2 linked regions of the Neurospora crassa OR74A genome follow. The protein of the gene in region 1 interacts with the protein of each later gene in a pairwise test. Links are inferred from orthologs where the notes say so. Each region holds a gene or a part of one and is shown on either strand. Other genes may lie near its edges.

Region 1 (3,916 bases):
CAGTCGCCCCTTCCCGAGGATGAGTGGCAGAGGCTGTTCAAGCTCCCCCAGGAGCCCAGCAGACTCGAGGGTATGCTCAACGCCCGCCAGGTCGACCAGTACGCAAGGCAAGTGGATGCCTTCACGGCCAACATCACGGCCAAGATGTTCGCCGTTCGCGGCAACCTTCTCCCCGAGTAAAAGGGGCTACCAGGGGTTGTGGTGGTGTTTTTTGATGGGACGATAGAGGACGGTGGCCACGATATCTCAGCCGCATTTGGTTTTGGCGTTCCGGGTTGTCGGCGTGTTATTTACCTTGCAAGGTCTAGGGCAGGGTCGGCCATGCAGCCTACGTAAAGCGGGACGGGAGGGAGAGCTGCAATCACATCCAGTATCTTGTGGTGGCCTTGCTGATCTGACGTGGGGGAGGCATTGAGGCACTAGAGAAAACAAAAGGGATGCGTCCAAAAAGGCGATGAGGGACGCGTTGGACGAATTATCAGACATGAGATCCCCGTCAATCAAGCGATAAGCCGTTATCTTCTACTATGTTTAAGGGGCCAGCCTTTTTTTTCAGCTTTCCGTATATGTAATGAATTGCCTATAATCATATGGAGATGCCACGGCCCTGGATGGGAGGGTTTGGAGAAAGTCCGAAACTGAATTGTTAAAAAATGGGTCTCATCAATTCGGGGATGTGTCTAGCACTCTAGCTGGACATCTCAACGCCATGTCCGCGCTTCCCCCCCGTTTGCTGCTGCAGACGCTGACCAGGCGCTTTACTGCTTCCGTTGAGGTTGGCTTTCATGGGCACCAAACCTCATTCGGGTCCAGATACGACGATAACCGATAACAATTGTTGAACTCCCCAACCTCACCCGATGTCTTGGAAACGTCCAGTTCGGCCGAAACGAAAAGTGAATGAATGTCCGTCCTTGCCCATCCGCCCGCAAAACCCCACTATTTAGGCCGACGGCATCAGCGCTAAAAAGGCAAGCTGAAAGAGAACAACGTGGTGTCGAATTGGCGGCAGAAAGCACATTGCCATTTGCCGCGTCGACGACAACGGCTGGCAGGCAAAGGAGGGGCAAGCACTCGCATTGTGGTGGGGAATAAAGCTGAATTAGGACTAGCCTGCTTGTCTGATGCACACCGACAGAGCTGCTGGTTCGACAGATTTGCCCGCGGGGTTCTCATTTTTTTTTTCCCTAGTGTAGTGTAAACCCCGTCGACCCTTCCCCACTTCCTGCACGAAGCAGTTTTGGCTTCGTTTTGCTTGCCCGTCAGACCCGTGTCTGCCCTGCTGTTCCTCTCCGCCGCCGGCTGCCACTCTCAGTCAGTCAGGCAGTCAGGCTCTGCACATTCTGCTTGTGAGCTGTGTCATTGGATTCCGGGCCCTTTGATTTCCCCTTCGCTTCCCCTGCTCCCCCAGGGCCGTGTCCTCTTTTCTGCCGTGTGCCATCCGATATCCACTTTTCACCCCATCCCCTCAGTCCCTTCCTTTTAAATAAATCCATTGCTGTCCCCTTGCCAGGAAGAGTATTCTCACTTTTTGTCCATCCATCCCCCTCATCGTGAGTGCTCCTGCTCTCTCTCCTCCCTCCAAAACATCACCAATTCTAACCTGTACTCTCCATTCACAGATATCCCCATATCCACCCAACATGTCTGCCCCCGCCCACAAGTTCAAGGTCGCCGACCTTTCCCTCGCCGCCTTCGGCCGCAAGGAGATCGAGCTCGCTGAGAACGAGATGCCCGGTCTTATGGCTACTCGCAAGAAGTATGCCGCTGACCAGCCCCTCAAGGGCGCCCGCATTGCTGGCTGCCTTCACATGACCATCCAGACTGCCGTCCTCATCGAGACCCTCACTGCTCTCGGTGCCGAGGTCACCTGGTCTTCCTGCAACATCTTCTCCACCCAGGACCACGCCGCCGCTGCCATCGCCGCTGCCGGTGTCCCCGTCTTCGCCTGGAAGGGTGAGACCGAGGAGGAGTACCAGTGGTGCTTGGAGCAGCAGCTCATTGCCTTCAAGGACAACAAGAAGCTCAACCTCATCCTCGACGACGGTGGTGACCTTACCCACCTCGTCCACACCAAGTACCCCGAGATGCTCGAGGACTGCTTCGGTGTCTCTGAGGAGACCACCACCGGTGTCCACCACCTTTACCGCATGCTCAAGGAGGGCAAGCTCCTTGTCCCCGCCATCAACGTCAACGACTCCGTCACCAAGTCCAAGTTCGACAACCTCTACGGCTGCCGTGAGTCCCTCGTCGACGGTATCAAGCGCGCCACCGATGTCATGATTGCTGGCAAGATCGCTGTCGTCGCCGGTTTCGGTGATGTCGGCAAGGGCTGCGCCATGGCCCTCTCCGGCATGGGTGCCCGCGTCATTGTCACTGAGGTCGACCCCATCAACGCCCTCCAGGCTGCCATGGCCGGCTACCAGGTCACCACCATGGAGAAGGCTGCTCCTCTTGGTCAGATCTTCGTCACCACCACCGGCTGCCGTGACATTCTCGTCGGCAAGCACTTCGAGGTCATGCCCAACGACGCCATTGTCTGCAACATTGGTCACTTCGATGTCGAGATCGACGTCGCGTGGCTCAAGGCCAACGCTGCTTCCGTCCAGAACATCAAGCCCCAGGTTGACCGTTTCCTCATGAAGAACGGCCGCCACATCATCCTCCTTGCTGAGGGTCGTCTTGTCAACCTTGGCTGCGCCACTGGCCACTCCTCTTTCGTCATGTCCTGCTCTTTCACCAACCAGGTCCTTGCTCAGATCATGCTTTACAAGGCCAACGACGAGGCTTTCTCCAACAAGTACGTCGAGTTCGGCAAGTCCGGCAAGCTCGAGAAGAAGGTCTACGTCCTTCCCAAGATCCTCGACGAGGAGGTTGCTCGTCTCCACCTCGACCACTGCAACGTCGAGCTTACCCAGCTCTCTGACGTCCAGGCTGAGTACCTCGGCCTCGCCACTGAGGGTCCCTACAAGAGCGACCAGTATGTTACTTCCTGTCCTTTCTGGTGCCTGATGAATGATATGCTAACCAAGTCACAGCTACCGCTACTAATTTCCCTTTCAATACCATATATCCACCCTCTCCTGTCGTATTTGGCTAGGATAGGGGAGGTAATTTACTGAGGATCTCCTTCAACACTTTGGGTTATGGACAAAACATCTCTCAGCGGCATGTTTGGGATTTCCACAAAGCATCGTTTTCAACAGGCATGATTTGCATGACAAAACCGGGTTCAATATGGGGGTCTTTCACTAGGGGTTTTTCAAAACGGTATATTAGGGATGGTTCGGGTACAAATTTTCAACAAAAGTACGGCGTTGGCTTTGGCACATGATATCCCATGACACACCCTCGAGGCATTTGAGACGGGTGTGTTTTCGAAACGTAAGTAGCTGGTTGCTGCACCTGATGAAGTGCAAGAAGACGATAAAGAGAGGAAGGCTATACCCAAAGGCCCGTCAACCGAGGCCTGGGAACAATTAGACTACGGAATAGAGAAAGACACAGTCTTTTTTGGGCATGTCTTTTTGTGGTACACCAAAGAAGCCACCGAAGTTAATAATATGTGGTTATGGCTCACACTTTCCCTTCCTGCTACGCGATTCATGTCTGATTTTCGTGCGTCTCTTGTGTTGTATTTGTCCCTCTCAAGGAAGTAGTGGTACGACGAACGGCCGCAAAAGCCACACGAGTAAGTCTGGCTCTCCAATCATCCAAAGTAGCATCACGTTTGTCTTCTTTTCGCCCGCCCGCGAATGGACACTTCCCACTCCAACATATCGTGATCTTGCATATCGTAGTTGGTTTGGCTCAACCATTCGGCGTCCGTTCCGTTCCATTGCACGGAAACTGCATTGCCGCCTTTTATATACCTATCTACTACCTCTAGTTGCCTGCAACGGGACCAGGCAGCGTG
Region 2 (3,837 bases), on another chromosome or scaffold:
CGATGCGACCCGCCAGGCCATCGACAAGGCCGTCGCCTCCGCGCCCGTCGTCCTCTTCATGAAGGGCACCCCCGAAACCCCCCAGTGCGGCTTCTCGCGCGCCAGCATCCAGGTTCTGGGTCTGCAGGGCGTTGATCCCAACAAGTTTGCTGCTTTTAACGTTTTGGAGGATGCCGAGTTGAGGCAGGGTATGTTACACAACCAGTTGGGACAAGAAAAATGGGAAAAGTAGACAAGGACAGAAATGCTGACACAAGTGGGCGTGCACCGCGCATCATCATGCATATATAGGCATCAAGGAGTACAGCGACTGGCCCACCATTCCTCAGCTTTACATCGACAAGGAGTTCGTCGGCGGTTGCGATATCATTGTCTCGATGCACCAGAACGGCGAGCTTGCCAAGCTTCTCGAAGAGAAGGATGTTTTGGTCAAGGGCGAGGAGGGTGCTGCTGAGGAGCAGACCGAGAAGAAGGAGTAAAAGAAATGAAGCGGCGGATGCGGATGCAGCTTTTGGCTATGCGTGGAGGAAATGAGTGATTCATGAAGCCATTGTACTTGTACTGATACCATTTGATAGACGATTGGGATCGCATGCCTAGACTGTACGATATGTGTTTACTCTTTGCAATACTGAAAAGCGACGTGGAAGTGCTTCTCTGGAAATTCATCAGGACATTGGGAAACCAGATAACAGCAGATGATGACATGTAAAGTACATGTGAGACAGATTCCCTCAAAAGTATCTCGACCTATACCCGTCTATGATGTGTTGAAAACGCCATGTTAAATGCCGCCTGGGTATCATGTTAAAGCTCCCTTTTCCTCATGCACACAAAGAAAACAGAAAAACACAAAACAAAACAAACCCCTCAGCCATGTTGAACTCTCTCTTCTCCTCCCCCCTCCTTTCAGTTACTGTCCCCATCTCAGTTGCAGCTAGGCCCATCCGTAGCCTGTTGATTCGTCTTCGCCTCCAACCCATAACCGCCCAAGCCCGGGCTGTTATAACTCAACCCCTCCGGTCCCCTCCTGTGCTGGCTTCTCGGCCCTCTCTCCTTCAAATCATCCCTCAACCACCTCAACACCAGCTCTCCCAGCCTACTATTTCCCGTCACGCCTTCAATCACATTCTTCCCATCCTCGACCTCCTTCAACATCTCCTCCGCCTTCCCCCACCCCTTCACAGTGCCCAAGTGCATGTGCACCAGGTGCGTCGGCCAACTGGCCAAGTTGTCCAGGATGTGCGTCGCGTACACAACCGTGCACTCTCTCGTCTCCGTCTCCCGTCTCAGCCACCCTAGAAACTGCGCCCGGGACCAGACATCCAAGTCGACGGTGATTTCGTCCAGCAACAGCACCGTCCAGGGCCGGATCAAGCCCATTGCCAGCTGCACCCTGCGGCGTTCTCCGTCCGACACGGCGTGCATTCGCCAGTTGGTGTCGATATCCAGCACCGACACCAATTCATCCCTTCTCTCGGGATAAGCATCGCCGCCCACTGACCGCAGCAGCTCAACGACACCAATGTCCGTGCGCACAATCGCGTTGAGGACCCATTCCAACCCCAAGTAGGTGACGCCCTCCAGACCTTCCTTGAACGGGTCAACGCCCGACACTTTGATGGTGTTGGCGGGCGCGAGACGCTTGCCGGCCAACAGGCGAAGCAAGGTGGTTTTGCCGGCACCGTTGGCGCCAATCAGGAGCGTGCGTGAGCGAGGCGGGAGGGAGAGGGTAATGTCCGAGACGCCGTTGGAGCGGTCGGGAAAGCTGTAGGTGAGGTTGAAGGTTTCCACTGTTGGGGGGGCTGGTTGGGAGGCCATTGTTTTTTTTTTTTTTTTTCTTGTGTGCGTGTGGCTGATGGTTCGATGAACGGGTTGGGTTGTTGGTGGAAGGTTTGTTATGTTGGCTCTCTCGAGTGAGAGATATGGTTTCTGGTTGGCTCTTTCCACTGTGTTTACCCTTAAGTTCGTGTTGTTGACAATGTGAAGGGATGTACTATGGTGTTGGTGGGAAGGGAAAAAAAAAAAATCGAACTTGATTTGGGGAGTGAGGGGGAAAATGGATGGAATGAGGGGGTGATAGCGGCAAGCGGCAAGCGGCAAATGTTGGGTGATGCGAAAAACGGAACAGTTCCCACTTGCACCTGACAGTTTAGAGAGCTCGGCGATGTTGGGCCAGAAGGTCTGTCGTTTCAATCCGCCCTCCCCCCTGGAAAGTTTTGCGGGGCGGTACCTGATGACGCAAGTACGCAACAAGGGCCGTTTTGAGTCCACATGGCGATTCAATTCTTCAACTCCAATAATGTGCGAAGAGAGAGAAAGCAGAACGTTCCCGATCAAAACACCTCTCCACCTTGGTGTCTTAGATAGGCCTATGTCTTGCGTCCGAAAACCGGGAATAGTTCCAAACACTTTTCCTCATCATGTCTCACTATTACCTACTACCGGAACAAACATCGTTCAACTTCGGCATCTGTTGCAAGGAATCCATGCAAGGAACCAGGTGGTCGGTGATTCAAATTCACTAAATATACAAACCGGAAAAATGTGAAACCACCAACACCTTCCTAAAACGGAAACCAAAGGTATGGTGTTAGTGCTGACTCACCTCAACTCACCCTCCTTTAACAACACAGAGTGACCGGAAAGAATGTCAAAAGATACAATACGAAGGCTCGGAGGCTTTCGATGGGACGTGACCGAGGGTAGCAGTACTGTACAGCACCCGCTCCAATCCCCGGGATCCACAAATGCAGTTGCTGCATCGATCACCATGGCAACACATGGGGGAAATCGGTTGTTCTGAGACACGAACCCATACTGCGTAAGACGGACAGAAATCCCATTACTGCCATTTGCAAGTATTTTGTTGTCTGTCACTTGGCGGTTTGTAGACATCCTCAACCCCCTTGCTAAGGAAGAAAACAGAGCCGAAGAGACGCAGGAATACGGTTTGGCGATACAGGATGTATATTGACCCATCGACTACACCAGAATTACTGCCATGCAAGTGAAGGATGTAAAGATGAATGTATCAACAACCCGAAATCCCTTTCGTTGATTTGTATCATTTGATTCTTTGCTCCCCTGATTCACCAATCGGGGCGGCCCATGGTAGAAGTTTAAGTTGGTGATCAGTCACCCAACTCGAATAAATCACCCATCCTACCGTTCCAACCAACCGCCCCCTATCTAACCTAACCGCCGCCGCAGCCACTATCCTCAGGTTCCACGTTCCAGAACCGGTTTCTCTCTCTCCATTCTTCCCTTTTAAACCCCGAATGATGTAAAACGATAATTGGTATCCCTTGAACAGAACAGAAAACAAAGCCCCAGCCAGTTGCGTAATAAGCAAGAAAGAAGTGAAGTAGAATGAAAAAAAAAGGAATATGCCGTGCCGCAAGAGGAACATATGATGAGAAAGAAAAGAAAAAAGCTCTTTCCCTTTCGTCGTCTCTCTTCCTTTTATGCTTGGCCACCAACCAATGCTGTGCAAAAAAAAAAAAAAAAAAAAAAAAAAAAAAAAAAAAAAAAAAAAAAAAAAAAAAAAAAAAAAGACATATGATCAAATGCTGAATGACGCTCGTAATCCATCTGTCCACCACAACCGAGGGGAAAAAAAAAGAGTTCAGACAATAATAATAAGACACGAACAAGAAAATAATGGTATCTCTTCTCCCCCTTTCCTCTGCTCTTCCCCTCATCTTGAGCCGAGTGTTTGGCTTTGCGCACTCTTAATGGTCGTTTTGCTCGCCTCTTTACCTCCTCTTCACCTCTCTTCACTTCCCGACCCAGGCCTTTTCATCGCCTCACTAAGATCCCGCAACGGGTCCCCAC

What was found.
Region 2: the proteins of cys-18 (region 1) and NCU04097 interact in binary tests that used the Saccharomyces cerevisiae proteins (3 or more experiments, as listed by UniProt). The link is inferred for Neurospora crassa OR74A from reciprocal best matches to the Saccharomyces cerevisiae genes SAH1 and CAF16.

The regions. Positions count from the first base shown.
Region 1 is NC_026504.1:1,317,722-1,321,637, reverse strand, and holds cys-18 (adenosylhomocysteinase), read left to right. Parts: upstream 1-1,197; 5' UTR 1,198-1,553; exon of another isoform or gene 1,554-1,622; 5' UTR 1,623-1,643; coding exon 1,644-2,980; intron 2,981-3,038; coding exon 3,039-3,051; 3' UTR 3,052-3,594; downstream 3,595-3,916. Other genes in the region: NCU07929 (eukaryotic translation initiation factor 3 subunit 3), read left to right, coding at 1-180. UniProt on the Saccharomyces cerevisiae protein: Adenosylhomocysteine is a competitive inhibitor of S-adenosyl-L-methionine-dependent methyl transferase reactions; therefore adenosylhomocysteinase may play a key role in the control of methylations via regulation of the intracellular concentration of adenosylhomocysteine.
Region 2 is NC_026505.1:4,815,774-4,819,610, reverse strand, and holds NCU04097 (ABC transporter), read right to left. Parts: upstream 2,125-3,837; 5' UTR 1,822-2,124; coding exon 928-1,821; 3' UTR 555-927; downstream 1-554. Other genes in the region: NCU04098 (monothiol glutaredoxin-5), read left to right, coding at 1-188, 292-479; prk-9 (serine/threonine-protein kinase 3), read right to left, coding at 3,813-3,837.